Schizosaccharomyces pombe: one gene and its partner. The protein of the gene in region 1 binds, or shares a complex with, the protein of each later gene. Each region holds a gene or a part of one and is shown in the gene's direction. Other genes may lie near its edges. The genes, in order: crb3 and ipi1.

Region 1 (15,688 bases):
TACTTAGCAAGTGCCTTGTTGACACCAGAATGAAGTTTTAAAGCATTTTGAATAATTTCGGCGATGCTGAAGTCACGGTCAGGAAAGGTACGCTTAATCAAGAATTGATTTTTTTTTAAATTCCACCAACCGTAGAACAAATATCTCCACCAAAAACGTATTTTTTTAAAAGGATGCAAGAAAAATGATGTATTATCGATAGGTTCAATGTAACATTCTATAGAGTCAGCACTATTATATACACTAAACATACGCAAAAACGGTATATCCATAGGCTTTAATGCCCTTTGACTTATTGCACGAGGAACAGCGCAATGGAAATATCGCAAAAACATAGGATTAACGTAGGTATTTCTGCAAGCGAAATTGATAGCGAACTGATTCACCCAATATTTCTGAGTTCTAAGAACATTCATATTTAAATACTAAAAATATTTAAAAAAACAAAAACAAAATTTAAATGAATAACGACATGCAGAGCGATGGATAAATGTTGTGAGTCAGAGATGAAAGGAAATAATGAGGACGGTACTAAATCACTATCCCCGGTTGTCCCACGGTATATCCTCGGATGAGATTCTAGGAGTCGAGGGCAAAGGTGGAAAAGTATTGAAATCAGTGGAATTCGGCTGCGGCAGAGTAGACGAGTTAAGCGTATTTGAACTTAAGGGAGGCTCCAAATGAAGTGGAGGTTGTTGAATTGAGAAGGGAAATGGTTGGACCGAGTTTTGCGATGTCGATGGGGATATAGGTAATGAAGGAGGTTGGCCTGCAGAAAACAAAGACTCATAAGGGTGAAATGATTGTAATGTGTGATTAAAGGGATCAGACAATGACTGACCCAGTAAAAAGGAATCAGTCGAGTAGTTAGGATTCCGTTGAGATGTAAAAAATTGGCTTGGTAAATTATGATGTGGCCAATCGAGCAGCTCGTCAGATGCTGGCTGCTCAGTGGTTTGCTGTGGTGATGCGTTAGGATTACTAGCAGCTACGGCGGCCACTGCAGCAACTGCTGCTGCTGCTGCCTCCGTTGTAGAACTATCGTTCGGGGTCGTAGCATCATTTACCATATTATTCTGATAATATTTCGATCTATTGCCTGGATTATTCTTAAGCTTAAATCCAGCAGCCGCATATCTTTCTGGGAAAGCATTCCGAAACCTATCCCTTAGATCTGTACTTCGACGATTTTGAAGTCCGAGATTTGCATCTTTACTAATACGAGTCCAGCAAGGACCATGCAGAAAAAAGCCCTCTAATAAACGCTCATCCTCTTCTGGGGTAAATTGCTTTCTCTCCTTTCTAGTTGATTTAGATAAACCTACCGTATGAGGGATTTTTTGAGGCCGTCCCATATGCGTTTTCGCATTGGGATAAAACTTTTTGTAATCTTCTGGTAAAATTGTCCGAAATCTTGCATATACCCATTAGCAATTGATTTAGGCAATGAAAAAAATTTGATCATGCATACCTGTCTTTTAAATCATTGGGAGAACGATTCGTAAAATGAAAACGTTCATCTAATAGTATTTTTTTCCAATTACCAACACCATGCTAGAGACGGTTAGTTTTCGAAAAAAAAATCATTTTTATATATTCAATTACTAATAAAAAGACAATGTCAGTATTGAATTAACATACAATTTGACATCCCCGTAGTAAATCGTTAGTTTCTTTCTCAGTCCATTTTACTCGAGGCTTTCTCACTTTCGTAGGCTTTCTCTCGAATCCTGGAACATCTTGAGCTACCTCCCTTTTAGAGGGATTTTCAGCTGCCAAAATGGACCCATTCAACAAGTCGACAGAATGCTCATCCATAAGATCTGATGAAAACCCTGGAGGTTTCATAGACCTCATGGTCAACTTGATTACAAAAGAGAAGTTACGATATAATTTTTTATGGGGTTTTTGGTTATGTACAAGAAACCTTCAACAATTCCCTAGTGGTGACTCTAATGTACAATTAGATGTTTCAACGCCTATATATATATGCAAATGCCAAGTCAGGAAATCAATAACAAGAAGTTCGTGGCCCCCACATTGGCCACCATAATGTTGAGGTGAGTAAACAAACCAACAATAGGTTAGCTAAAAGACAGTTGATACATCTTTATTTTTTATAAACATAAAAATCTTAAAAAAATACAGGTTATACTGAATAGACATACTCTGAATTGAACTAGCTTAACATTTAATTTTCAAATTCCAGAATGGTAAGATGTTTAAATAACTGACCAGCTTGTACATATAAGCAAAGTAGTAACTAAATGTAGTTAGTATATCAGTTTGGCCTAACGCTAATTCTTAATGCCGTAAGTTTGAAAAATATTAGCTATCTGTTTGTAACTAAGATTCATTTGATGCTTACTGAATAATTCGAATAAATCATGTGTACTTAGCATATGCCTTATTTCAACATTTTACCGTGATGTGGGATCGTGCTGATTTCTCATAGTTTATACACTAGGCAGGAACACCACCACTTCTTAATTCCTGCATCCACACTTTATCCACTTAATTATTGCCAAATTACCTAAATGAAATGATAATAAATGATTTACATTAATAATACTCATCATGGAATCATCACTTGACAGACTCAACTTTGATGAGTTTGTTGCTAAACTGTTAATTCACGAATCTAAAAAAAAGAACAAGTCGTTTGTCGACCATGGCTATATTGAAAAGGAAAAAACAAAACTTCGCCCTAATAAAGTTTTTTTGAATAATATGGTGAGAAATGTTCAATCCCATAATCGTGGAATAAATAATCGGAGACGTGACCAAAAGCGTAAGCAACTCATAAGCATTAAACAAGATAACGATTTAAATGTCTCCTCAGAAAGGTTGTCTAGGAGAATCGATGTTCCTCGGCCCACTAGTAAGAAAAAAAGACTTTATAAAGAAACGCCGGATTTAGATGAACCGGGGTCTCGTGAAAAGCGTGTTAGCCAGAAAGGGCAATTAAAAATTGAGAAAGTTTAATCTTAAATTTTTAATAATGTCTCCCAGAAAATAATAACTATATTTCTTCATTTCTGATTAATCTCTTTGTGTGGTTTCATTTGGGGATTTTATATATCACCACTTGAGCTTATCATTATACATTATACATTTTTATCCAAAAACGAATATCATTTAAAAATATCACGTTCAAATCCTTCAATTCCTATGCCTTTTGATTGAACCGTTTAGTTATTTTTAACAAACTTTAAACGGATGATCCTCATATTGACACCGAAATTTGGCTTAATCTATATTTATACATGCATTAAAATATTGTTACAAATGTTTAAGAATTAAATCAATTCTTCTGTTAGCAATAAAGTAACCTTTTCTTGGTTAATTGAAAAGCATTGCATGAAATCGTGTAGCGAAAATGTAAACATTAAACATATTTACACCACTAAAGTCAGAAATTTTCCAACAGTATAGTCGAAATCAATATACGTTTGATTGGGTACAAATAAAACTAATATAGTTTCCAAACAGCCCATTATATCAATTTGGAAACGTAAATAGCTGACTTAGATAATTTGTCTACAATTATGCTTGCTCTAGAAAATAGAGTAAACAGTCATTTTAACGAAATGCGGTTGAATTCGGTTAATTTAGCAATGTAGTCCAACACGACTTTTCTTGCAAATTTCGCTTTGTTGCTAACATTTCAGTTCAGCGATTTGCGTTTATTCAACACGCATTTCAAGGTTTATGGAGCTGCTTCTTTCTGGCTGTGAAGCTATTGAGGGTGAACCAAGTAATGTTCTATGCCACAATCTACATACCGGTACCCTGGTGAGCACATTCCGTCAAAGCTCACCTGCTAAAAACGCGACATGTACTACTTTGAATCATTTGCTATCTGCTCAACATACCCGTCCACAGCTGAATATTCACAATTTTGGAAAGGTAGGTTCTCTCTGCACTGCATTAGTTGTACGCTTACTTCGTTTATAACAGCAGTTTTACAGCTAATTTCAAGCTAAAGTAGCTAAACACATTTTAAATGAGTAAAACTAATACAAGTGTAGGAAATTTTGGATCAATCAATCATTTTACCTGAAATACTTATTTGTGTGCAATCGAGTCCTTGTGGTTCTTGGCTGGCAGCAGGCACAGAAAAAGGAAATTTGTACATATGGTCATTAAAATCCGGTGCTCTTATTTATTTCTTCAGAGCACACTACCAACCTTTGACCATTTTGAAATTTTCCAATGATGGTATGGTTTTATTCACTGCTTCCAACGATGGTGATGTATTCGCTTGGTTGATAAGCACTTTGGTAGACCAAAACTCTACTTTTGAAACAAGTAATAGTTCAGTTAAAGCGATTTCTCATTTCTCTGGTCATAAGCGTTCTATCGTGTCTATGGAAATTGGCCCTGGTCCCATCGTTAGTGGTCGACTTTACACGGCTTCGGAAGACAACACAATAAGGATTTGGGATGTTTCTACAGGAAACCTTTTGACAACGATTGCTCTTCCCTCAACTCCCAGTTGCATGACCGTGGATCCTTCCGAACGTGTTGTCTACGTTGGTAACGAAAAGGGAATAATATGGATTCCATTATACACAGGATCATCCACTTTTTCTAACAACGTTAAAGAGAAAAAAAGAGTTACGTCTGTTGATAATACTACTATTCCAAACGCCATCGGAGGTATGGGTCGAGTTGTAGATTATAACGACAGTAGAGAATCAAGTATTATATCGTGTCAATCCCCAATAACCACGTTGACTGTTTCCTTTGATGCTTCTCTACTCATTAGTGGTGATAAGGATGGTAATGTTTTGGTTTGGGATAGTGTTTCTCGACAAGTTTTGCGCCGCCTCGTTCAGTATTATTCGCCGGTCTCTTTTCTTCAATGCAAGGTCGACAAGATATCATTTTATTCAAACTCTTCACTTTCTTTTCCAGTTTTAAAGCGCATGATTACAAATGAGTACTTAAATTCAGATGTTCGAATTTGCATTCAAGATGATGGGGTAGAGCAGCTGATGCAACCGGAAAATATTCTCAAAATCAGCTCTGATATTGTCGTATGTCCACTTCTTAAAGATTTTGAACTAACATAATTTTTAGACACAAGGCTCAGAGTCCAGTTGGCGTGCCAAAGCTGAAACCAGTGAAATGCAGCTCAAGGAAGCAAAAAGATTATTTTATGAATTAAAGCAAATTCATCAAGCGTTATGGGAAAAATACCTGCAAAAGTAACTTTTTTTGTTAGGTTAAAAATTTGAATAAAATTATAAGGGATTGGAATAATTACACTTTTGTAGCAACGGGGTTCTAATTGTTGTAGCCCTTTTGTTATAATCTCATTGGAAAATTTTATTAAATATGTTGAATTAATTTTTTATCGTTAACTATTTTGTTCTCTGTCTTCAGCTTTTACTTGTATTAGTGTCGAGAGCAATCATCTCAAGCAAAACATCGCCAATGTAGTCATAGAATTCATCGATATATTTTCCTAACTTGTTAAAATTTTGTTCTAAGTCAAGGTTTCCATACCTGCTGAAAAGTTAGGTATGCCGCTTTCGGTCATTATGCTATTCATTAAATGTCGACAAGGCTCATGTGAAGGGAGATAATTTCGTGCATGCTGAAAGTCTTAGTTATTATTTATTTCCATTTGAAAAGATTATTTTCTCACTTCTATCAGGTAGCTAACATAGTCGGGGTCATGAAGCTCTTCATTAATGCTCATATTCATAATTAAAAGTATAGCTCCCGCTTTGCCAGAAAATTTCTTCCAATTCAAGTCCAAGTAAGAATTCAGCAAATACGATCCATATTCAGAACCCACAAAGTGTATTTTAGTGCTCACTGAATTGGACATTACATAGTTTAACCCTATTGACACATAGCTCTCTGGAGTCTCGACGTCTATTCTTTGTTAAAAATTTCATTGGATATTAGGAATCAATCTTACCTTTTATGATAGATTTTTTAGTGATTTGAAGTCCCTGAGAGGTGAAATAACGGGTTGTCTAAATTTTGGTAAACATTATTGAATAAATTTGCACATACCCTAGGGAAATTAATGCTTTGGTCCCATAATAGCGCAGAGGGAGAAAATATTACAACTGAAAGTTTCTTTTCTGTGCATTTGGCTATTACATCTAGTACAGTTGCACGTCTCACATCGCCTTCGCGCAAGTTTCTATTTGACCAGATTAAGGGGTGCGACATTGACTGTATAATTATAACTATTCCATTTTCATTAGTTTGCCAATTTCGTGTTGCATATATCCAACTATGTGGTTCTGACGGTGAAGATTCCAATGGTATAGATATTCGTGTTAGAAGGGAATTTTGTAAAGTCCAACTGTAAACGTGATCTAATTTCAATTGCAAGTTAACTCCTGAATTAAATGATTACCCTACCAAGTACAGCAAAATAGAATTTTTCGTTGTACTCTTTATCTTTGGTAACTTGAAATTCATATAGCTCATTTGGCGCGTTCAACTTCCTCAAGTAAAAATCGTTGGTAATTTGGAGATTCATGTCTTCAAGACAATTCCCAAAGTTGACGTCCCTTTGGAGTACACGGGATTTCTTTTTCCTAAACATATGTAAGGCCTACTTACCAATAATAAATTACGATAAGTCGGTTAGTAGTAGGTGACATTACAAAATAATTGAATGGTGACTCAATTTTTGTTGTTAAAAAATATATATATGAATTTGTAGATCAATACTACATAGTTTATTCTATATATTTAATAAAAAAAAGGAGGAAAGCATTGTAAGTTCATATGGTTTTAGGTCTTCAAATTTCAACGTATAAACCACTTCAATTTTTTGATAATTAAATCATCTTATTTCTAATATATCTATTTGTATAGGTGTAAACACCGAGAAGTTTCTTCATAGTGTATCCCTAACCTTCTTCGTCACGATAATAATTTAACCCATTTACTAAGAATGTATGCTGAAAACCTTCTCACAATGACCAACTAAAACAAAGAGAAACTCTTGAATTGTCTACTTAAAAATGCCGTATTTTTTCATATGGTGCACTTCGATAACAAAAAAGCAGTTTACAACATTGCACAAAAGGATTGTTTCACTGATCAGCCGTCTCCTTCTTTTTAAGCTCCGCCATATATTGTGCGAATTTACTTTGAGGATGACTGTGTAATCCACATTCTGTTTTCTCTCGACCGCGCCAACGTCCGGCACGTTCATCTTCACCTTCTCTAACTGGTTGAGTAGAGTGCCAGTCACCAACTGATCTGTAACCCTTGTTCAGAAGTTCATTATATGGAACGTTGTTTGTAATAATATAATTATGAACTTCAGTAAAAGACCAGTTAGCCAAGGGGTTGATCTTTAATACTGGTCCATCCAGCTGAACAATGGGCAAAGATCCGCGCTCTCCACCTTGACTACGGCGGCGGCCAGTAAACACAGCAAGTACATTTAAGTCAGAATAAGCACGACTTGCTGGTTCCACTTTGACTAAAAAGTCATACCGAGATTCATCTGTCTCCCAAAGCTTCTCACCAAACTTCTGAGCAAATTCCTTTTCGTTGGCTGCTTCAGCACAACGATAGACGTGAACAGGCACGTTAGGATACTTAGTTTTGACTTTTTCAAGAAGATCCAGTGTTTCTGGGAAATGATGAAGTGTGTTGATAAAAATCAGAGGAACATTCATATCCATTTTCGATAACATGTCCATAATAACAAGCCCGGACAGTCCTAACGCAGATGTTTGAAACAAAGAAGGAAGTGTCCAACGGCACCATTTTAAGATATCTTGAGGACTAAGCTCCGATAACTGCTTGTTGATGTATTCGAGATGTTCTGGGTGAAACAAGGTTTTCGCTTGCAATTTATTAGCAGGCGTATCGATTGAGCTCATATTGAGTACAATAAATTAGAAAAACCAAAATTTGGGACGAAATCAATTATGTCGGCGAGGAACCAATGGTTTAAACCGAAGATAAAAAGTCGAAAACTTTTCAAAAAAACCAAAAAAAAAATTTGAGTCGTGTACGCAGAAAAATTTTACTTACACTTACTTTTATAGTTTTATAGAAGCTATTGGTGTGCTCTGTAAGACTTTTAGAGAATAGTCAGACAGGTTTGGAAAATAATTATTACGGAAGATCTGCATCGATGCTTACAAAGGAAGAGGTAACAAGACGATACCTATTTTAGTTGGTAATAGTAAATTGTAGAAAAAAAGAATAAGATCATTAGCATTTAAGTATAGTTAGTGAATTGTATACTAGAATAAATGAATATTATTAAATGTATCAAATACGAGATGAAAGAGAGAGATTTTGCGCATTTTAATGTTACTACACCGTTTTTTTATTTTTGGTTTTAAATTTATAACTCTAATGAACTAAAAATTTCTCTTTAATTATTTCAATAACGTTAGTCAAAGGTTGATGCACAAATCTTTTATAACGTTTTGTATATTATAGTTAATATTAAAGGTGTGTAATAAGGAGACGAAAAAAATTTTTTATGGTATAAACCTTCGTAAATCCAATATGCAAAAAAAGGGCACTTTGTTTTAAGCAATTAATTTACAACTCCAAGAACCAGAATAAATATCCGACAAAAAGGGAATGATAAGAAAAAGTCTTAGCCTAATAAACCCACCAAACTCATAAACAAATACTAAAAGACAATGTATAAGATACATAAAAATGAAGGACCAGTGAACATTCCAATCCAGAAAAACACATTACCAAGGATATCGCGTTTTTTGAAAGCAAACATTTGTTGGAGGTCATAAAGAGGAATTTGTAATAATTGAAATGTTAATATGTAACACCGGAATTTACCAGTTGCGAGCAGCATCACAAATTCGTGTACAAGAGCGGAAATTAAAAAAGTGAGTAGAACAGCGTGAGATTTTTTTAATTTGAAACCGGAAATTGATGAATGGTAAACATGTCTCATGAGAAAAACGTGGACAGGCTTATTCCATTCGCGCGAAAATTCATCCCATGTAACTGTATTCCACCAAGCACCATAAAATCCACGGTCGGCAAATTTAGTGATTTCAGCAAATGCATTAAGAATGCAATCAAAAATCAGGTAAAACATGATAAGGTAAAGTATGATAGCGGGAAACATAATTTTGTTCATTAACAAGGGAGCAATGCGTAGCTTCCCTATGAAGTCAAGATCTTTGACAGCCACAGCACTTGGAACGAAATACCAATCTACAAGAGCCAAGGTGAGAGCTAGTAAACCGAATGTGGAGCCTGCTTTAAATGCCATATAATGCCAACGGAAATGGGCAACTCTAGGAAACTCCATACTATAGACAAGGGATGGAACTAATAAATAATCAACGTAATTAAAGAAATTGATGTTATCAGGATAAACAACATTGCCCACTTCGCTACGCATCTGGCGTGACAAATATTTTGCTGTTAAAGCGACAATTTCTTCTGCCTGCAATGTAGATATCGTTTCAGCAGGCTTATTGGGAAAAGTCAGTTCAAACGTGTATTTCTCATCTTTCTCGGTGGAATTCAGGCATTCACGAACAAACTTTAAAAGTTTTTCGTATTCATTATGCAATATACGAATCTCACTGATATAGCCCATATGGTGAGAATAAGAAAATTGTTTCATAATTAGAACGGCACAATGCAGCGTGAAGAAAACACATTGAACAATTGGAAAATCTCGATGCTTAACCCAATAGACAGCTAACACCATATAAAAGCCCTGCCACAAAGTTTGGATTGTGTAACCCAAATTAGCCCATCTAATCATGTTCTTCTCAATACACACTTGTAAACCATAACTAAAAAAGCTGAGGCAAATCATAAGGAAATCTGAGCTAAACAACACGAAAAACTGGCGAAAGACCTGTCTAGCTAGTGGTAAACCAAGCAAAGTATCGCGTTGCCAATAACTTCTTGCATATAACTGTAGTACCCATGCAGCCATTGAAAGCCAAAAAAGCACATAAAACCCTCTAAACTCACTTTTTGCGAAATAATTAGGATCGGTTACACGATCAAAAATCGATTTACGAGGCTTAAACTTATAATCATGGTAAACTTTTCCTGCAATTAATAATTGTTTATGACGATCCAGAGGAAATTCAACAACGTTTGCGTTATTTTTATCACCCTTGGATTTGACAACGAGTCGGCATTCGGGAAGAGCCTTCAATAGACTCATACTGGGATGAACATTTGGTTTGTTAATCGTTGTGCTTATATCGCTAAGCGGAGATGGAGTAATCAATATCCTAGGAGTATCTGTCATACTTCAATCGGTCAAGCTTGCAATGAGAAGAAACAAATAGTATTCAAACCAACTAGCAAATGGTGATAAGGAGGTAAGAAAATAAATATTAATGTAGATCTATGAACGTTGATTCTTTATTATTGTTCTGAATATTTTACTCTCTTCGTAAACAACTCTGTTTGAAAATGTTTGTTGAAAAGTCTGAGTTCTGTTTAAATTATGATTCGATCATCCCGTTGGAGGATCAGTACCACTAGTGAGTGCACGTCACCTTCATCTCATTACACCCAAGTTACATGTTCTTTGCTAACTTTAGAAGCAGACGAAGTAAACAAAGCTCTGACTAGTAAAAACAGTTGCAATCCAAAGAAATTGAGGTGCTATTAGAAATAACTTTGAAAAACTTCTCTATTTAAAAGATATTTTTTCCTCATCAATTACTCGGGATTTTCTCACATTTAGTGGACCGGAATATAACCTTTGAGTAGAATGTTGATTTGCTGCTATTGAATTTTACCTAAGAGTGTTTTACCTAAATACACTTAATTCTTTTTCTTATTTTCAATTAATTATTAGCCAAACAATCAGTTGTTGTTTGTCTTGATTAGTAGCTGCAAATTTTATTTGGGAACTATTAACTGGAAACATAATTTCTTTGTGCTCTTTCGAATAGACCGGTTTTCCTCTAGGATCGGCCATTTTGTTTACAGTATGCCGGTTAAATGCCAATAAAAATGTGTTTTCCAAAAGCCTATAATATTTAAGTATCACGTTTACTACTCTTCACCTTGTATAATAATGCACAAAGCATGAGTAAATTGAACTAGTGAACAATTATGGGTTATTTTACTAAAGTTGAATTCTACATTTCAACTAACAAGCAATTGACTTTTCTTTTAACGATTAGCATAAGCTTTTATACATTGCAGCATTATATTGTTTTTGCAACTACTTTGAGTGCAACGTAGCGTCTATGCTAAAACTCCACTTTGTGTCTCTCCATAAAATAATGGTCATAAACTAGCATATTTCCGCTAATCAGACATACTATATTGAAGCATCACAAAGGAAATCACCTCAAAATTAGAATACTTAGGGTGATCGCTAAAACACTATTAAGTATTCATGGCTACAACAGTGTAAAAAATTAGTTAGCAATGAAAAACGGAGTATAGCGGGAAAAAAGCAAAAAAAATAAAATAAATAAATTAAAATTGTTCATTGAATAGTATTTTTATTCTAAAATATCAGCACAAAAAAATTAAGGAAACTGAATAATCAAACAAAGAACTATTCTTAAAGTATGTTTTACCTACTACTCTACCGAGTCATAACTTACTGTTAAATAGTAAATGCCCTAATAGACCAAGAATCCTAATTGCAATCATTCCAAAAGGATCTGATTGAAATATAACTATTCTGCCTCCATATAACCCTTGACTTTTAACAAAATTTACATTAGTAAAAATTTTAAACGATAAAATAAAGCTGGAAACTGGGTAAACAGTAGCTTGACTGGTTTGTTACCATACCGTTTTGATAACGATAAATAAGACATAGAAATTACGATACTACTTTCTTTTTTGTTTATCCATCCTTGCTGAAACAATCTCAATCACATTATATCCAGATATGCAAGTTTTTTAAAACAATCCAACCATCTACTGCCAATATTCCATATGAAAATAGAAATAAGACGATCCAGTCGTCTATTTATGCGATATCCAAAGGATGCAACTTTCCATTGAATGATTTTTTACATTTCAAGTAAATAAAGGCAAAAACATTTGGCAACCGCTATCTTTGTATTGGACTAATTTGGGAATTTACCTGACAACGGTATCCCTTTATTTTGACTATTTGGTCTATCATTTGTTTACTTTCTGCGTCATTATATGTGGATACCATTGGAATTGTAGGTTCGTTGCGCGTTCTTAATATTGTGTGGCTGTGCAACAATGTTTAGCAACCTCTGTTTACACTTTTATCCTTAACCATTCACAGTTTTATAACTTTTGTGAACTAAGTATTTATTAAAGGTATCGAACTTTTAGTTCGACTTTACCTATTATTTACCTCATCTTCCCTGATTTTTTTATACACTCTACTTTTTTTAAAAGAAAAACTACAAAAAAAATTTTGGCATAGTAAAGTAGGTGTTAGATACACTTGGTGATTCAAAACCTTCAAGTCATTCTTTCTTTATCCTAATTGGACTTCCATTATCGCTTTGGGATATTGACTCTCTTTTTTTCCATTTTAATTGCATTTCCCTTTCATTTCTTAATCTTCAAGTATACATAAGTGATTAATTGATTTCACTTAATAAACATTCATATTTAGCCTATTACTGCAAATTTTTTCTGCTCTCTTTTCGGTTTTCTCATTTCCCCCAAATCCCCGAGCAATATTTATTTTAGGCCGTCTTTCTTTTTTTATAAGAATATCTTAACTTTTCAGCTTTCTTTTCTATTTTTTCATTCATCTACTTGCATAAATTATTTTGCCCTTGTGCATTTGAATTTCTTCTTTCGAACAAATACAACTATTAGCAACTTTTCGTGTTCAACATGATTCGCAATACTTTAGCGTTTCTAGCCATTCTGTTTCTTCTGATACCAACGGCATTGTTAATCATTGGTAGTGTGTCGGTGCCTTCTACCCGTATGACTCTGGCTAAAGTCGAAGGTACAGAGTTTGGTATATTCGGCACTTGCACTGGTAATGGAACTGATTGTACCGAGACTTCTTTTGGTTACAATGCAAGCTCTTCTCTAATTGATGATTTTTACTATAAAGGTGATAAGCGCCTAGTTCTTTCCAAAGTCTTAATCACTCATATAATCAGCGCCTTTTTGTCATTCCTTAGTGCGATATTTGTATTTTTTTCCATCTTTTTGGTTAATCAAGCTGTCAACATCATCAATATCATAGTCGTTTTCATTACTACATTACTTACCTGTCTTGCTTTTGCTATTGAGCTGGTTCTCTTCCTTCCTCATAATACTTGGCAGTCATATGTCACCGCCGGAGCTATTGGTTCAGACTTGATCGCTATTTTAGCGCTATGCCTGAGAAGTGTTTCAATTTCTCGTATTGGACAGAAGTCTGCACGTCTGGAACATGTTGATACGATGAACTCATCGTACTCGAGCTACAAAACTGATGTTAAATATCCTTTGGCGCTGGATGACAAGCTCAGTAGTGTGCCCACACTTCCCAAATTTCATGACGCTCTTACATCTACTTCGGAGTTTGGCCCTCCTTCAGATAGCGGTGACACGGTTGGTACTACTCAATATCCAGGTGATATTAAATACGCCACGGGATACGAAAGTACTGTGGCTTCTCCAGTACCATCGCGTGTTGCAAAACTTTCTTCCCGCGATACACCTTCTATAATAGCAGACTATGACGAGTTCCGTAAATCGGAGTCTTCGCCTTCTCGTTCCTCTGTGCTTAGTACTTCTAAACCTGAAGTACATGAAACCGAAGGTTATTGTCCCCACAAGACCGGAAATCGACCTGGCTTTCCTTCCCTTAATATACCTCGTACACGTCCTACCACAGCTGGTATTGCTAACACGCAATTTGACTTGGAACCTTATCGTAATCGTCAAGCTGGCTCAATTAGTAGCGAGGGTACAGATTCTCGATTCTTTGATGTAGAAAATCAAGTTTCTGTTGCTCAAACTCCCAGTGTAAAGCCTGAAATGTTCCCTAAGACTGCTCGCCCTTTTGCTGCCATTCATGCTAACGCTTCATCTACTCAACTTCGTAATACTGAAAATATCACACATCCCGGTATTCCAAATCATTTTGCTAAAACAACTAGTAGTGTTTTTGATGAGCCTCCCGCTACTCGAATGCCTCAGACACGCTCTCCTGTGAATGATCACTCTAGCTTCCCATCGGATTTGCCCATTAAAGGTGAAATGTCTACAAACATGACCGGTGCTCCTAGAGTTGGTTCTAGAAACAATTCTTCAAATGATTTGCATGCACAGGCTGGAATGCTTAAAAACGTTGGAAATGGCCCTAGAAATGCTCCTAGAAACAATTCATCGAATAATTTACATGCTCAAGGTGGAATGCCAATGAATATGCGTGGTCCTAGAGGTGCTCCCAGAAATAATTCTTCGGGCGATTTACATATTCAATCTGGAATGCCGATGAATGGACGAAATGGTCCTAGGGACACATCTCGTAATAATTCCTCTTCAGATTTATATGCACAGAGCGGGATGCACCCAAATATGAATAACGGTCACAGGGGTGCACCTAGAAATAATTCCTCAAATGATTTGCATGCTCATGGTGGTATGCCAGTCAATATGCGTGGTCCTAGGAACACTTCAAGAAACAATTCTTCAAGTGAATTTAATGCGCAAATTCCAATGAATTTACGTAATGGTCCTAGAAACGCATCTAGGAGTAATTCTTCAACTGATTTGTTCGGTCAAAGTGGCATTCCTGGAAATTCCCGTGGTATGCCAACTTCTCCTAACTCCAGAAATAATTCAGCCTTGGATCTCAGTATGCACGGCATTCCACTAGCAAACAACTCTCGCCAATTCAAGAGACCAAGTTATGGAAATATGTCAAGACCTTCTTTTGAGTTAAATGGTAGTCGTAATCCCTCACATGGCAGCCTGAATACCGCCCATGCCGGCATGGGTTATGGTCCTCGCAGTATGATGAGAGACCCTCAAAATTTATCTAATGTTCCCCCTGTTTCAAATACGTTAGATCAGCTTTCAGGCAACGCTGATTTCGAGCTTCCGGTTCGTGGTAACCGTAATAATAGACGGGGACCTGGTGGAAATCGGATGATCCGTTAATGATTATTCAATTGGACATTTTGTCTTCATTCTGCTAGCTTATGTATAATTTGAGAATTGATAGTTTCGGTAAACTGTCGATTTATTCCCTTAGATTGATTCTTTACTCATCTTCTTTCATTTCATTCATTTTACTTTTATTACAATTTTACTATCTCTTTGGCGAACCTATTAATTAAAGGACTGGTTCCTTTTATAAATTTGCATGCACAGTTTCAATTATTCATTTTACTTATCTTTCCATCTCATTAATATTCTTTCAGAATAAGCATGAGAACAATGACGATATATTGGTATTACATTAAAAATAGTTGTAGGAATTGTGTAGTGCTATCGCAAACAGGTACTTTTTTATGGTTTGTAGAGTATGTGTTTTAAAAGATTTTTTGTTGCATTTATATTTACGGGCCAAAGAATACAGTAATGCAAAAATGTATCTATCATCAGTGTATCTTATGAGTTTGGAAAACAACCAATTGATTAAAAAGTATAATTAAAGATGCTAAGTTGATCGTGATCGTTGACAATAAGGCAAACATAAAGAATGAGGACTGGAGGAATTTCTAATTTACACACTAAGGAAGGATAAATACTTTTTCAAACATTA
Region 2 (17,289 bases), on another chromosome or scaffold:
ACTAATCATTCATATATAGGCAGAGGAATGCTTAGGAATGGCAATGATATTTTCATTATGTTCTGTTGCTAAGGAGGAGACTAACGCCATTCTTATCGAGCAATCTCAGCGCGAAACACAAGCTATAGAGGAAAGACATCGAAAGGAAGCAGAACAGGAAAATAAAAAATTCCATGGAACGCCAGTAACGGTTGAATCATTTACGGAATGGAAAAAAGGATTTGATGCTTGGCGGAATGAGCAACTAAAATTAGAGCAAGAGTCAAAACTAAAGGAGGCTTTGAGTGCTGCATCTTCGAGTAATGCACGGAAGGCTATATTGGAGAAAAGAATGACAGGAAGAGAATTGTTTGAAAATAATTTGGTCAAGTTGGACGATGTTGAGGGAGAGGCTTAAAGTTGGGTTTAGTTCATCCCGTTACTTTATTGTTGTTTCATCCAAGGTAGGCAGGAACCTTTAAATAAATATAAATAAAATTGGGAAATATAGAAGTTTACTTGAAATCAGGGTTGGGTATTAAATATCTTTTTTGTATACTGCCTGATTTTGTTTTCCATGGCTTTCTTACAATGATTTTCAATCGATGCCGTCTTGCATTCTGCATAACGGTATTAACAATTCATATGTTTTAATATTTATATTATTTTCGTTGTGTAAAGCTAAAAAGCAAGGCTAATGGCAAATATGCCTATATTGTCCTTACACTGTACTGAATCGGTAACAATTGACAAACACGCTTTTATAACATTTTATCAGTGCTTAATTAAATTCAATACATCAATAATTTATTGTTATTTAATTCACCGCTATTTTTGAATAAAGCCAAACTAATTCAAAGAGTATTAATACGTTACTTGTTTCAACAAAGTTTCTTTGCCTCTTACATACAAAAAAATGCTCCACGCCTGCCTACTCGTCTGAGCTTCTCAAAGCTAACCCAGACGGTGAGGTATGGGTAGTACGCTTAAGCGCCATCCATTTTCAGGGCTAGTTCATTCGGCAGTTGAGTTGTTACACACTCCTTAGCGGGTATCTACTTTTAAAACAAACTGCGTATTCGCTAACTAACATTTGCACAACTTAACTTCAAGACTAAAAAAAACTACAAGCTACAGCAACAACATTAAAATGTAAAGAGCACTTAAAAATTGATCAGTCAATTTAATTTCAATCAGTAAGACTAGAAATAAAATATCAAGTGAAATTTTTGTTTATAGTTGCAAAAGCAAGATACAAAAAAAAAGAACAAGAAAAATGAAAAAATAAAAAATTCCAATAAACCCACACATCAACCCTTTATGCCATATCTAATCAAAAGTATATCCCAAATGTGTATTCAAATGTATAGGTTTTAGCTACAAAAGTAATCTTTCAGTACGAAGCGTAGTCTTCAAAACGATTGAAACTTGCAAGCTGTAATAAAAACATAAACAAAAGCTAGAGTAGAAAATAAAAGAGTTTATAAAAACCAAGGTGAAAAAAAAATCAATAGACTCTTAGTAATGTCTTTCAACAAGAGACCGAAAATTTATTCTCTATTTCTTCCTCCTTCTTGACAATAACCGAGTTGTCCAACGAATCAAAAGAGATTTTTGCATGCTCCAACGAAACATCAGCATCGGTATTCGGCATTTTCGAAACAGAAACAGAGTTGGTAAGCTGAGGTGATTCAAGACCCTTTGAAGAGAGTATCTCGGCCATCGTGACGGATTTTGAGAGTACGGGGAATTCTGATTTTACCTCGTCAGACATTCCATCTTCTCCACCAGGGCCCTTACCACGACGACGTCGGGTAATTTTGTTCTTCTTCAAACCAATAGGACGATTGTGGCCATGAAGACGGGCATACAAACCACAAGCGTTACAAACAGTCTGTCCGTGACGATCTTTGCGCCACAACGAAGTTTTCGTAGAAGAGCAATTGGCACACACCAAATTCTCAAGTGCCTTAGATGAGCCTTTGTTTCTAGGAGACAATGGTCTCATAACACCATACTGTTTGTTGTAAAGACCACAAGCATTGCACAAGAAGTTAAGCTTATCTGATGTACGTCTCCATAAAGGCGTTTCAGTGACTCCACAGTTAAAACAGACATGTTCGCGATGTTTCTTTTGTTTCATTACACGTGCTGCCTTACTAGCCTTTTCAGTTTTAACGGCAGCAAGGGGTGTAGAGCCTTTCATTCCCTCTGCTAACGTCGACTTCAGACTGAGAGAAGAAGAGTTAGAGGACAGATTAGGAGTGGAAAATTGGGGCAACTTAAGTGAAGCATCCATGAGTAATGAACGAGCCTTTTCATCTGTTTCAAAGCTTTCAAACGAAAAGAATGGATCAACGGTAGCGATCGAATCGGACAAGCTAGGAACTGAGCCCAAGAACTCAGATTGGGATAGCAAAGCAGAAGACGAACCAGTCAAGGATGAGCTCGATTCGGAGAGCTTCGAGGGAGACGTGGAATCGTTCAGCTCCCTTTTAACAGGCGACTGAGGTGACATGAAGCCCAGATTGCTTAGCTTGCATCCATAGTTGGTGGGATAAGATATGGAAGCAAACGCACGCTGACAATCACCATCAGAGGCAGGGAAAAGAGGGGCTTGACTTTCATCGAAACCAAACTCGGAATCAAGAGCACCAGGGAATGGTGTATCGATTAATGCCGAGCTTGGCGTTGGGATGCAGGGAGTCTGTACATAAGAGAAAGGGGGTGTGGGTTCTGACGTCTTACTGGAAGACAAGGCAGCAATGTCAATATGAGAGTTCGACAGTATGGTAGACTTTAGCAATCCGGAATCACCGAGTTGCGCAGACTCTAAATCAGAACATTGCCTTTGATTGTCGAAATCCATGCTGTCAAGAAGAGACCAACGAGCAGAGGGGTTGGTTTGCAATTTCTGATTATTCTCCGTAGAGTTAAAAGCCAAGGGATAATCAGAAAGCAGTTGCAACATTGAAACCGAATCAAAATCAACATCTCCCTTGCCTGGCGCATTGGCGAAAAGGGCATCCTTATGAAGATCAATGGGAAGATTTGCGATATCGGATAATGCTGTATCAGCGGGGGAAGTGAAAGTAGGGTCAAATTCGGAAAATTGACCGTCAAACGACCCTTCAGTCATAGCCGAAGTAGGGAAAGAGGGCTGACCAAAGGGGAAACAAAATTCAGTAGTATCGTTGTAATTCATGATAACAAAATAATTGGATTTGCTATAAACACACAGACACAAAGATAATTATAAAAAAAAATAGAAAAACAAGGGAGAGAAACGAAATTATAATACCGAATTCAATCACACGCGAGTAATATGTTAGTCACACACAGACAAAAAGTAATAAATGTTTAATGTTGACTTTGTAAAAAAATAAGAAGCATAATGCACTTTGGGGATAGTTAAAAAAAACAATAGACCCGACCAAACGATGTAGAGATTCTAAAGACTCTAAATGTTACAACCAGAGGAAAAGAAAGATATTTGACCGAAATGAGTAAATAATAAAGGATTATTCCAACGAAATTAACTTGCGAGTTACATCATATTGGAGAATTATAAAAAAGAGATAAAAGGAAGACGATTAAAATAAGAGAGAAAATTATTTAATCAACCACAATAGTAGAAAAGATTAACCGAAAAATACTAAAAAGATATTCGATAAACAAAGAGATAGGAGAAAAATTTTGGTAGAGGGATAGAAAACCTAAAGCAAAATTAAGAAGATAAAAAAAATGAGGTGAAAAACAACCTACGATAAATTCTCAATGAGACAACATTTTGAATGATTTAGGAGAAAAAGACTTAACGACGACACGAGGACGAACGAAGCATGCTTTGTAAACGTAATATTGGGGGTGGAAACAAAAGATCCGAAACAACAAAAACAACCAGTATATTCGATTTCAACAAGGAAGTAAAATCAACTTAAAAAAACGAGGACTTTATAGATAATTTAACACATCTTGGGAAAAATTAAATCTGAAAAGTAACTAGAAAACTGAGGTATGTAAAAAAAAATATGTCAACACTAAATGGAGTAGAAGACAAAAAAATAGAGATTTAAAAGCTTAAAATAAATGTAATAGACGATTTACGAGATCAGGATGTTAACGCTGTACTAGTAAAATTGTGTGGTAGTTGTGGTGTTGTTGGTTGTTAGTAAGTTTGGTGTAGTGGTAAAATAAAAAAGGAAAAGAAAAAAACCGGCGGCGCAACGAGCTCTTAAATAGGAAGAACGTGACAAGAAAGCCACTACGTAGTCAACATTCATGCAGCTATTATGGACAGGTACGGCAACTTTTGATTGGTAGAGAGAGGAGGCATAATAGTAGGGACAGCGCCTTATCAGAGGGCTTATCGAACGATCGGGGTGACATCGGCCCCAAAGCTTATCGCATCTAAGTCGCTTTGTAAGTGGTGGGAAAAACATTAGATAGCCAATCAAAGATTGCAAAGACTTGAAAGCAACACCCAGGCCAGCACGCAATGAACCATCGTTCAAGTGCATTAAAGTATATAGCGAAAGAGAATGGAATGCAGTAAAATCAACCGGCTGTGGAAGTGAGTAGCGCCGATATCGCTATATAGGAAGTGTGGGGGTGTATATATAAAATGGGGGCGAAAGGGTTACTATAGAGACAAATAGACACGAGGTAACTAAGTAAGTAGGTAGGAGAAAAGCGAATTAACAATTTGAACTTGATAATAAAATAGTTGTGTATTTCTCAGTCAATTTAGAATCAATTGAGGAGAAAACTACATGATCATAGAAGGGAAAGAAGGAACACAGCGAAAGAAAGAAGCGTTAAACAATAGGAATGGTTCTTTTTGAACCGATTGTTTATAGAAATAATAAAATGAATGTTATGATGTGAATGTATGAGTGGAATGTGGATGTGAATATGAATATGAATATGAATATAAAAGAAGATGTAATTAAAAAGTAGGATTTGGAATTTTTCACAACAAAAACTCGATTAACTGTAAATGTCGAGTCCTATTGTTGGTTAAAAAGAAAATTACTTAAAAGTCCTTTTGTAATAAATTCTACTCTTAAAAATTAAAACTGTTTATGCCTTATTATTACACATGTGTCCGACATGCCTTGCCTGTCCAAAATGCCTTGTCTACTATACTTTTCTATACTCAGTCTAACGCATTTACTTTCTCTGCCTGCAACCTTTCTGACCCGCTATAACGATAGTGACTGTATTCGTTTAAGCTTAGTTTCCGTGTTCCATCATCAATTGTTAAGCTTATTTCCGCAAATACACTCGCTCTCGCTATTTAAAGAATTTTCGGATTTTTTCGGTCTGCGCAGTAGCGACTATGAAGGCAGCAGAAGTACATTCCTACCGGAGAATGAGTTCCGTTGGTATTACACACGGAAGGCAAGTGACAAGGCTAGTGAAGGATGATCGATTGATCCTATTTCTCGGGTTGTAAAGGCCCCAAAAATAGAGTGTTACAAGAAAGTAATGGGCCTTGCTTTGTGCGTATTTTTGTTATTCAACATGAGTTTGCTATAGCATGAATTTTCTCTGAAATGCGCATACTAAATTGCAAAACTTGTTTGATAAAAGTGCAATACACTTATCATAACGATGTTGATGAGTAAATGAATGTTGCGCATCACTTGACAGTAGCAAAGTGCAATTATTGGTTTGCGCAACGTTGTTTTGTTCATTTCGCCAACTTTGCTTATTCACACCGGTTCTATGTTCAGGCATTTTGTTGGTCGTTGGTTACTAGAGGAAAAACTGTTGTTGTTGATACAAACAGAACCCAATTGTCCTTCAACCCAATCGTTTCTCAATGTTTACATGGTCAAGGTTTGTAGTGGAATAAATGGAATGGGCTGGGATGAAAGGAAATTAGCACGTGGAAGTGTAAACACATGATTTTTCAGCAATCCCGCTAATGTGATAGGCTTGGGTGAGAAGATGAAAGAGAAATAAAAGAAATAATCGTTCATCAATTCGTTCAACAGTTATAAAACAACCCGACCAGATAAAGTATTTGAAAGATTGGAGTCATTCAAGAAAGCGTAAGGATTCGAGATTGGAATCGTTGGAGAGATAGAAAACAAAAAAAAGTTTTGCTAAGCAACCATTGTATAAAATTTGAAAAAGAATTTTCCTTTGCTTTTTGTTTTTTTCACTTAGTACAAGTAAACAATCTCTTCCATTGAACCAAATCGTCCATCCTTTGTCAGCACGACCCTTTGCATCCCTCTCTATCCCTATAACGATAATCTTTCACTACGCTGTCCTTGTCTAGGATTTCTGTTGCTGCTAATCCTCGCTAAACATGCAATAGTATTAAAAGTTGTTGAATGACATCGTTATTTTACACAACGAATCATAGCGAGATCATCGCTGCTCATTGTCGTAAGCAGGCCAGGTGTGTTCATATTATAATTGTATCGGGTAAATGCAGCCCATGTAAACAAAAGAAATACGCTTAAAAGGGATTAGCTAGAAGAGAAAAAACCACCAGAACTAAAAACCAATAAAATAAAATAAAAAATCATTGTTTTTCTATTTCTTTCAGTTTCACCTTCTCGTTACTTCCTATCGCCTACTATCCATCTACCCACTGCCCACCTACCAATCTTCGGTCGGCCTCGTCTTCACCCACTTGTTTTTGTTTCATTCCCCCTGCATACACCCCATTTTTTTTATTCAATCTTTCTTTTCCTTTTCTTTTCTTATTTTTGGCTGTTTATTGCTGCTGTTTCCATTCCATCATCTGCTGGCTCTTTCTTTGTTTACATGTGCTATACTGATTGCTTCTTTGTCTTGCCTGATCTCCAGTACCACATCATTTCTTTCTTTTTACATCTCTTTTCTTCCTAAACCCATTTGTATGCAGCTCATGAAGTATTTCCTTTTTCCTTCATTATTCATTCATTACATGAAATAAAGTGCTCGTTTACCTGCTTTTCAATTCATTTGCTGATTTGATTTGCGCTTCTTTTTTATTTTTCACTATGACCCCACCGTCCTCGTCTTCTCATTTCCCTTCCCCTTCTAGCGCCAACAATGATTTTCATTCCTTAAGCCTTGAAGCGCATGGCTCCTTGTCCGACAAATTCATTTCTCAGTTTCGCTTAAACTACACAATTATACCCATTGCGCAAAAATCTAATATCTCTTTACCCTTCCTAACTTTGTCTCCATGCTCCTTCACCATCTGTTCTCTGCGAGCCCGTTTACATTCTCTGCATGGCCCATCCACAGTTTTTTTAAAGCGTGAAACTTCCCAAATTAGCGCTCGCGTAAATGACGAAAACGGTTTTACTGCATCTCCCAGTTTTTTTAGTGTTGATTGCTTCGACGAATTATTTCCTACTCTGTCGACTACCGATGAGCAACCAAAGGAACCATCTATTATTTCCATTTCCAGTAGTTCTTCTGACCCTAGTTCCTCCCCTCCTCCTTCTTCCTCCCTTTTAAAAACTCCCGACAATGATTTTTGTGCTCGGCCAGAAACGTTTGTAAAATCAGATACCGCCGATATAAAGCTACAAATACATCAGAATAATCTCGTTTTAACATTCCTGGATACAACGACTGTCTCGAAAGTAAACATCGTGCTAGAAATTCACATCCCAGTGCTTCGTGACTTTGTGACGTTTGAACAGTATATTCCTTTAATGTTTTTACCGTCACCATTTGAGACGATTCTTTCTTTTGATAATCTAAAATCGGACAGTCCCTCTTCTGACTTACATTTAGGTTGGGATCATACTGTTTCCAAAGAGTCAATGTCACAATCTATTGCTGAAGTCCTAAATCCTTACAACAAAGGTGTTTCTCGCTCTTTGAATGACGCTACTAACATGGAGACTTATCACTGGTCCCCTTTTCCTCCTCAATTTTCAACCTTTAATGATAATGCTCTTCGCCTTCGCATATACTACAAACCGAAATCTTGGCTTCCCAAAAATTCTAGTTGCTCGCTATCTGTAGACGTGAAAGCTACTTTGCTTGAGACTACCCCCCCATCATGCGAAGTATCCTATAATCTACTACTAACGTGTCGCTCCTCTAACCGTTTTCGCCTTTTTCCAGCTTCTACTCCTAACAGTAATGGTTTATGTCGAAACGACTCAAAGTGTCGGTTTTTAATGATACTTCCGGAAACCATTATTAAATCTCCTTCTTCTTTTATTGGTGATTCATATAATATTGCAAACATTGATCCACCAAGTATGTAACTTTTTTCCTCCTTTTCGCTATCAAACTACTAACACTTTTCCCGATAGGCTCTATGAACGTTCAATCGTCAGAATTTCGTGTAGGTGAAGTGCAGTCTTTTACTACAAACACATCATCCTTCGCATTCACATTCAAGGAAATTGTACAGTTGGGCTCCAAAGCTTCTGTACCCATGATTTTGTTCCCCGCCCCTTCTAACTATAAGCTAACGATAGAAAAACCTCCTTTCCCATGCGATTTAACAATACCTCATACTGCTATAAATGACTCTTGGCTTCCTATGAAGTTGAAAGAGACGAATGCAATTTCTTACTACAGAAAAACATGTTCCTCATGCAAGTATCCTTTCCAATTCTTTATTAATAAACTACCATTCTACCAAAGTCCCTCACTACCCTTGAGTGCTACTTATGTTTGGATTGCTTCTGCTCTTTTGTCAGTTCAGCCTGGGAACGGCTCCTTTAACATAATGCTTAGCCTGAAATTTGTTTCCTCAATGAAACCGGGAACTGAGCTGTTAACTATTAAACAACCAAAGTCTTCACTTTTAAACTGGGGGCTAGTTAATGGCTATCCTAAAACTGAAGGAAGAATTGTTCTTCTTCCTCGCAACGACATTGTACTAATTCAAGCTGATCAACCTACTTCGGTTTTTGATTTATGTTGGACTATTAAACCAACCTATGAAAAAAGCTCAAACTTTTCTTGCTTACAACTGCCAATTCCAGTTTTAAATACACCCATACTAACGCCAGTGACCATTAATATACAATCTACCACTTATTATCTAATTGGATATGCCAATCAAAATTCTAAAAAAACTCTAGATCAACCCACTAGCTTATTAGTACTCGGCTGCAAAGCTAAAAACGTTTCTGAACTAATACTATCTTATCTACCGGAAAAACCTATACCTGATGGTGCACCTATTGTAACTAATGTCGTTGAAACTAATAAAACCAATGAAGCACCTTCGAGTTTTCGAAAGTGTTTGCAGCAATTCCTAGTGTTTCTGACTTTTACGGGGATGACACTTTTTATACTTTATCAACTAACATTTCCTTATGGTGTCGCTAAAGACAACAGTTCATTTATTGATACTCCACTGCCTCATAGTTGTGAAATGGAAAAGAGTTTAAATGTATTACAGCATAAAGTTTTGCAACTGCAGGCAGTGAATATGAAATTACATGATTACTATGAAAAAGAACCAACTGAAATTTACAAAACCGTATCGGTTACTAGCACTCAAATAATGCCAGCTGTTACAAAAATGTCATCATTCGAACTTGAAAGGGAGCAATTTCATAAGGCATTTGGATTTTTACGGCTAAATAGGAAGAAAGATGACAATGCCAACTAAACATTAATTTTTTCAATCATCAGCACACTTTTTTAATCGTACATACAAAATGCAAATCTTTTGATTAAATTGAAATTTTTTATTAATGAATGTGTTGTTGCAAAACGACTTGGATTAACAAATCGAAAATTTTCTCATTTCATTACATTAGGCACTACTCACATTTTCTACATTTTGGGTACTCCACCAAACGTAACGTTGTCTGAAAGTACGAAGTTTAAATTGTACAATTAATTCCACAATATATTAAATATGGGTAAATCAAAGAAAGCAAAAGCTAAAAGAGCTGATTTTAATGTAAAATTGTTGTCGGAAATAGCTGTATTAACTGATTTTTTAGAAACAAAAACTCAAGGTGGGAAAATCAAAAAATGCACCAAATAATTTTACCGATACCTCATTCAGAACAAAAAGTATGAACAAAAGGAATTTTTATTCAAATAACTAACCTAAACATCTAGCGCTCGTACTTCCAACACAGGCAGCTTTAGAAAAGGAGGATTTCAATACAACAGCTAAGGATCAGGCGTACTTTGCACATCTTTTAGGAATGTTAAAGCATCATAATGCCAATCAACGGCAGGGTAAGAGAAATTTTCTATTAACTTATGCATCTTTTGCTAACATGTTAAAGAGACGTTGGAAAAGCTTACACAATATGTTTTATCTCATACAAGCATTTTGACGACGTCGACAGCGCTGCTGTTAAAGTTAACATCGCCTTTGATACTTGATGAATCCTCATCGGTACGAGATTGTCTATATCGATTTCTTGAAAAATTTATATATATAATGGGGCCAGAATTGCTGGAACCGAACATTGGAATGATATTTCTCTACACACACTCAGGGATGACTCATATTACTCCTTCAATACGGAATGACTCTACAAAGTTTCTCTCCTTACTCATCAATGCTTGTAAAGATCGGCTAAGTTCCTCTGCAATTTCGTTACAGTGGAAGAAAACATTAGAGTGCTTTACAAACCTTCTCGGGTGGAACTCAGAGAGTGCCTCTGTGAAGAGAACAACTAGCTTTTCAAAGAAGTCTTCCGCTAACATGATAAGACACCTAACTGTATGTAACGATTTTTTACAATTGGGTTTGAACCCTAAGTTACAAGCAAAAAATCAACAATCATCCGTTCATTTAAAGTATCCCTATTTGCAACAATGCATTGTAATACATCCGAAATACGAGGCGTTTAGATCTCCTTGTTCATTTGCATATTTGTCGCTATTCAATCCAAATAAACACGATCTTGTCGATAACCCTACTTTCCGTTGGCAGACAATATATCCTTTAATACCTGGAATTATAGAATTCATTAGAAACTCGTGGTCTGACGCTTGCCCAGTTGTTAAAGATGGATCCAACTCTCCGTCTGCTTCAAAAGTTTGTAGAACGGTTTTATCGATGCTTGGATTGTTTACTGAACAAGTTTTCAGTGTAGCTGATGAACCCAACAATCATAGGAAGAAAATATCTCAAGTTTTAAGAAAAATAAATAGGGACATAGAGTTGATAAATATCAATTATGGAACAGATTCCGAATGGAGAGGTGTATTGAAAGGATACGATAAATTGCGCGAGCGTGCAGTGGAATTGGATGCATTGGAGAACCCGGGTAAATGAAACTGACTCTATATGTTTCGTTTTAAATGGGTCCTCGCATTGTTTTAATTTAAGAATTTGGTTTGAGGGGTTATTTATGTTAAGTGGTATAAACAAAATTGATATTAACGCATAAATAAAATTAATTAAATAGTAGGGTGTATCCCCCCTAATTGATTCACCATAATAATTGCTGCAGTATACAAGTCTGAAACATTCTCAGTAATAGCCCCACCAATGAATTGTTTATTTGCAAGTTTCCACGGAGCCGTTTCTCCTGCGCGTATACTGTTATTATATTTGAACTGAGACTGCATGTACACACTTTGTATACTTAGACTGAAACAGGATTCTATAGGTTTGCTTTCCTTGGATCTGTCGAGACAAACGAAGGCTTCTTTGGAATTAATAGATGACGGGCTAATGTCATAGCTCTTAACTTTTGAACATTTTAATATAAATTCTAGAGAGTGAGGGAGTAAATTTTTGTTAAAAGGTACAGAGTTTTCATTAATTCTTGTGACCGAATGAATTATTACTCTGTCTTCCATATTTCCAAAGACTAACAGTAAATCCTTATTTACGTTTCTAGTCAACTGATTAGTCGAAGCTTTCAGAAATTGACATACCTAAATCTAATACTTTTGGAGAACTCTGTAAGTATCGCATCATTTAAAGGGACTTTCGTTTCGATACGTAGACGGGAATCCCATAAGCTATAAGTCATGATTAGTTGTTTTTTTCCTTAAAAACATTCATAACATACGCTAAAGGAAAATTGATAGTGCAAGTAGAAGATTGCTTAGAATCTTTATAAAACGCAAACTGATCTAACTTTGAAGAACAAATCATCGAAAAAAATACAGTGGAATCCTCTGTCTTGTTTCTCTTATCATCTGTAAATAATAAACTTCCCTTGAAAACAAAGTAATTCTTTGAATCTAATACTTCATGCTCTATTAAAGGATAAGTATACTCAGTACGTCCAAACAAAATTTTCACAGGAGTATTCAATAATGAATCGATATTCGAAACTGATTTGGTAATGCTTTATAAAAAGGTTAATATAACATATGAAGACTCAACCTACCAGTCTGCAAAATATGATCGGGGAAGATTCAAATCCTTATATATATTCATAAAACCATGTGAACAAGCCGACACATCTGATGAGATATTTGGATATAGTATGACGCCAAACCTGTTGGATTAATATTTATTCAAAAATAAACGCATACTCTAAATTCAATTCAATTTCACCTGAAAAGGATTGAAGTACATGCAAGCTAAACAAAGTGTTAGACTTATGTTTACATATTTAGTCAATACCACAGACCTTCTAGATAACCATCTGTGCAATGATTTCAAATTCATGTTGTCAATCTCTTCGTGATTAATGTATTTTTCAGAGCATACTATTTTTGGTTGAAATAAGTATAAGCTTCCCACACCGTAGCTTGATACCGGATTGGAAGACATTAGAATTGTATAATAGTTGTCACCAAGGTCGTCCATTTTCTCATCTTGTAAACGTAAAAACTTCATGTCAATTGAAGGAGTTAAGCTGCCAGATTTTGGAGTGGAACAATCTGATCCTTTGTCAAGCTCTAAACATTCTACACTTAATAGGTTTTTAGACTTTGAATCGTCGAAATCCAATTTTGCGCAATTTTGTCGCAAAGATTTATGAACATCATTAGCGTTAACTTCATTAAATTCATTTGAATTGACCAATTGAAAAGTCTGAGACTGTTTAGTTATTGCTTCGTCAACAGTATTACCATCCGAAGAAACAGAATATCTAGTAACCAGCTCTTCTTCAGGTTCCAATGGTAAAGTATTGCTCGTAGGTCGAGGAGGAAGCTGAAATTTGAACCGAGGAGGCTGCTTGCTATTAGACTTATTAATTGAATGCTCAATTGCAGTTGTTTTATCTTGGAAATGGGTCAAAGATGAAGTTCCTAAAATTTGCTTATCAATCGTGGGTAATTTATTCAACTTGTTCATAATCATTTCTTCAAAATTTGACGGATTATTCTGGTTAACAACAGGATCAACTGCTCTCCTTCCTTGATGAATTGAATTATCAGATAATTCGGTTGACGAAGAATGAAAATTTGACGGCTTTTGTAAGACTGGGATCGACAAATTGGATGAAGTTTTATTTAACTCGTAAAATCTGTGCGCTGGTTTCGGAGAAGAGAAGTTTAAAGAAACACCTGCAAATATTTTACATCCTATCAGCTTTATATCATCAGAAAATATTTTAAAATTATCATTACAGGGAGGGGTTTTGGAAGGATTTTTAGCAAAAACTGGTACCAACTCATAAGAATCACCATCATGTTTATTTCTCAATAATCTCATAGTATAAAAAGATCCAAGGATATTGAAAACGCTTTTGAAAATAGATGTCGTATGCATAGCTGTGTATAAAATCTCGTTTTCAAATTTTAATTTTAGAAATTTCAGTTGGCAGGGTGCAATCTTTCCTGCATAAACAAGAGTTTCTTCAGGATATTCATAGACTTTCTGGGACACTAAATTCTCTATATGCTTCATTTTCTCCAACATAGCATTAATGTCCTGATCGTTATTGGCTAATACAACTATTTTCTAGTCAAAAGTTAGGATGGTAGAAGTATCTTCACAAATACATACATTATCTTTTAAAGAAGCCTTGTATTTTGTGTTGGTAGCATGCGCAAACTCCTTGAGCAAATCATTATTGTCGGGAAGGTAAAATAATCGCTTGAAACTCCCGTTGTAAACAGTAGGCGAATAAATGACCTGTTTAAAATTTCCTTCCCATTCAAAAGGAGTAATGATTTTAGGTTTTATCAAGCAAGGAATATAAAAATCGGAGGATGTCGGTTTCTTGCCCACTTTAGACTTAACAATGTCCTCATTTTCTTTTATTTTCACATCTTCAATACCGTATCCTAAGTCTAAGTACCTTTGAAAATTCAATAAAGTAGTAAAATCATAATGCAATTGCCCGAATGGATGAATATCTAGGCGTGGTTTCTTGTAAACAGTTGATTCGCGCTTCAACTTTTGAACTATTTCCTCAAAACTAGCATGTTAATTAATATTTAAAATAATATTTAGGATGAACGCATGGAACTTACAGACTAAACGCTTCTCTTTTGTGTTCCTCGTACACTATGACTTTGAATTGCTGAATTATTAGCGTCAATAGCTAGGATATATAAAATACCTGAGATGAAGAAGAGTAAGAAATTTTTACTTTTCCATTATATTCAGAACTATATCATCAGTAATAGTCCATTTGCGCAAAACCATACTTTATACAATTTGTGAAGGAGGATATAAATTCAGCATTTAAAAGCAACGCTGTATCGATATAAAATTTAAAAAATCCTAATATTAGCAAAAGAATGATACACATTGACTTACCAGATTGATTGTTTGCAGATACTTTACCCATCACTCATTTCATCGAGCTTACAGATGGTACATGCTATATGCAGCTTCAGAATATAAGTGAAGTAATATGAATTCATTAGGAATATAAAGCTTTATGAATTATCAGAAGAAAAGAAAAATAATTAAATCTATAGTTCCTTGTATGTAGGTATTATAATTGTGATAAAATTAATGTTAACGTACTTACAATCGAGAGCTGAGTATTTGAATTATAAGCTGTAATGATTCATTAAAGGTTAGAAACACTGTAAACTAAAAAATAAAACTAAGACAATTGTTAAGAAACGTATTTTGTTTAGCGGACACTCATTTGTAAATAAAAATGTGTTGTCTTATCAACTAACTTAATGCCTCCCAAAGCTAGGAAATCATTAACCAATAAATATCTGAACGTAAAGTAGAAGCTTCAAAGTTATTTCTATAGCCCCAACATTTCTAGTAGAGTCAATAAAATCCTTAAACCAGGAAATAAGGCACCCTCTCCTCCAATTAAGTATTAGTCATTATTTCAAAAGCAGATGATGAGATGCAATAGGAGTTCATGAACATCATTCCCTCTCAATTTCTACGAAAAGTTTTTTAATCATCAGAAATAGTTTTTTCGAATAATTGGCTTCTGATTTCGTCCTCCAATGACGCTTCCTGATTGTCATTGTTTAAAGAAGGAAATGAAACCCCTCTGAGAAGAGAATTAATTTTAGCTACCATGGTGTTCGTACTGTTGAGGGTTGATATCAATTCAGGGTTTTTCTTCCACATATTCGTATGTATTGAAGAAGGCCCATCTTCAAAAGGTTCCAACATTTTTTCGATTTGCTCAAGTTCAGAGCGCTCCTGTTCTAATTCTGACAACGTTGTTAATAGACCAAGTAACTCTCCCGTAAGACGATTGAACTTCTCTTGCTCCTCATCCTTTTCGACAGGTCGGGATTCTTTTTGAAAAGGCCATGGATGGGGAAGTGATTTTACACTGTCTAAATTGCTTAAATCAATTTCTCCATAAAATAATGGATTTAAAAAGGTAATGTCCTCAATAGCGCTATTTTGTTCATATAACTTTCGTATTTGAGCGGCAACATGCTGAGTTGCTTGATGTGAATAATTTAGCTTTGCATGCTTTTGGATACGAAGTTGCAATCCTGTTTTGGTTAATAATAATATTTTGAACTTTTTATTTGTAGGAGAAATCCAGACAAAAGCATGGAACACGTACGTTGGAATACAGTTTCAACGACTGATTCTGAAAGCTGACCGGATTTTAAAGGAAGTTTCCAATCCTTTGGAGGGCGCATAGGTCGGTTCAACAGCCGTATCTGTCGTTCCATGAATGATTTTTTATGTTCGTAAATATCCATTTAGGAAGTAAATTTGATTTAAATCAAGATTATCAGGATTAAAATAAAAACAGTTGAATACTGATCGAAAAACAAGTCAATATGGTATTGAAATTAACAAAGCAAGTTCACGCAAAGGCAACAAACTAACAGCGACTTTTGAGCATATAGACGTCTTCAGTGTAAGCACTTCCAAAATTAATTACTTAACAAAAAAAGACCAAATCAATCAGACCTTGGCTGATGGTTGATTAATGACAAATTTTGAGAAAGTTACAGGAGACTAAAGAAGTCGAAAAGTCGAGCGACTAAATAGAATACTTTGAATGATGTTAAAATGAAGATTTTATGTACATAATCATTAAGCTAGCTCCTTAGAAAGGACTCGTCTAATGCGAGTTAAAAAATTAGTGCATATATCAGTTCTAAGATATAGCGAAGAGAGTAATATTCTATGAAGGATGAACCCTAGAGTATAGTGTATTGTGAAGTTGACCTAGGATATACCATTAATATTGAATAGCATTAAACATATTTATTTATCCTTAAAACTAATAGCTTACAAAAAAATTCAGATTTACAAACAAGCACCCAGAATTGGTACATATACTCTACGGTGGTAAAACGTAAACGAAAGCTTGGTTTTTACAATGTAGTACCATTTAGGTTATTTCGAGCTAGTTGAGAAACAAAAACAAATGATGGTTTCCAAAATATAATGATAAAATATTCTCATAGGTTCACTAGCTAGATGGCAAGCCAAGAGTGGGACAAGTAGCTTTTGTAAAACATCATGAAGCTAGCAATCTAATCGTAGCTGTCAAATTGCAGATTCAAGTGTCAAGTAAATCAATATGTCCGGCTCTGTGTTACACTTCCATGCTCCTTCAACTATACACACTCGTTACTTTACAAATACAAAAATTATCTGTCTGTATTTCTCTTTACATAATTCATGTTTACGAACACGCAGCTCTACAACTGTTACTTTCACTACCAAATTTAGATATCTTGAAAAAACCTAGGTTTTTATGCGAATGTACAACGTTAGTCCAAACAAAGAAATTATTGAATAAGATAGAAGTGAAACCATCCATTGAACCCGCCTTTTTGCATCTCTTTACTTAAGAGGAATGAAACGAGAACTATGAGTGGCACCAATACCGGGACGACCGTGCTTAGTAGGCTTGTAAGTGATAGAGAACTCACCCAAGTAGTGACCAATCATTTCAGGACGAATCTCAACTTGGTTGAAGAGCTTACCGTTGTAAATACCAACGACAGAACCGACCATCTCGGGAAGGATGATCATGT

What was found.
Region 2: crb3 (region 1) and ipi1 share a complex: the UniProt entries of both Schizosaccharomyces pombe proteins name them as parts of the RIX1 complex.

Annotation. Positions count from the first base shown.
Region 1 is NC_003424.3:2,299,915-2,315,602, reverse strand, and holds crb3 (rixosome complex WD repeat subunit Crb3), read left to right. Parts: upstream 1-3,674; 5' UTR 3,675-3,711; coding exon 3,712-3,909; exon of another isoform or gene 3,910-4,031; coding exon 4,032-5,042; exon of another isoform or gene 5,043-5,085; coding exon 5,086-5,217; 3' UTR 5,218-5,332; downstream 5,333-15,688. Other genes in the region: mba1 (respiratory complex assembly protein), read right to left, coding at 4-217, 254-416; teb1 (Myb family telomere binding protein), read right to left, coding at 540-1,413, 1,472-1,554, 1,642-1,857; SPOM_SPAC13G7.09C (uncharacterized protein), read left to right, coding at 2,578-2,985; arb2 (argonaute binding protein 2), read right to left, coding at 5,388-5,473, 5,515-5,605, 5,657-5,889, 5,936-5,993, 6,034-6,344, 6,391-6,577; met16 (phosphoadenosine phosphosulfate reductase), read right to left, coding at 7,074-7,874; acyl-coA-sterol acyltransferase Are1, read right to left, coding at 8,645-10,258; protein Mac1, read left to right, coding at 12,811-15,081; protein upf3, read right to left, coding at 15,679-15,688. UniProt on the Schizosaccharomyces pombe protein: Required for both pre-rRNA processing and heterochromatic gene silencing. Component of the RIX1 complex required for processing of ITS2 sequences from 35S pre-rRNA.
Region 2 is NC_003421.2:798,550-815,838, reverse strand, and holds ipi1 (rRNA processing protein Ipi1), read left to right. Parts: upstream 1-9,753; 5' UTR 9,754-9,829; coding exon 9,830-9,874; intron 9,875-9,917; coding exon 9,918-9,990; intron 9,991-10,006; exon of another isoform or gene 10,007-10,038; coding exon 10,039-10,161; exon of another isoform or gene 10,162-10,211; coding exon 10,212-11,212; 3' UTR 11,213-11,337; downstream 11,338-17,289. Other genes in the region: gir2 (RWD domain-containing protein), read left to right, coding at 20-397; fil1 (zf-GATA type transcription factor), read right to left, coding at 1,511-3,184; protein mug4, read left to right, coding at 6,984-8,205, 8,262-9,577; RNA-silencing factor Ers1, read right to left, coding at 11,338-11,779, 11,821-11,907, 11,958-12,239, 12,282-12,392, 12,430-12,477, 12,528-13,807, 13,853-14,267, 14,323-14,372 and 3 more; protein Fta4, read right to left, coding at 15,221-15,780, 15,855-15,996; rps1501 (40S ribosomal protein uS19), read right to left, coding at 17,096-17,289. UniProt on the Schizosaccharomyces pombe protein: Component of the RIX1 complex required for processing of ITS2 sequences from 35S pre-rRNA.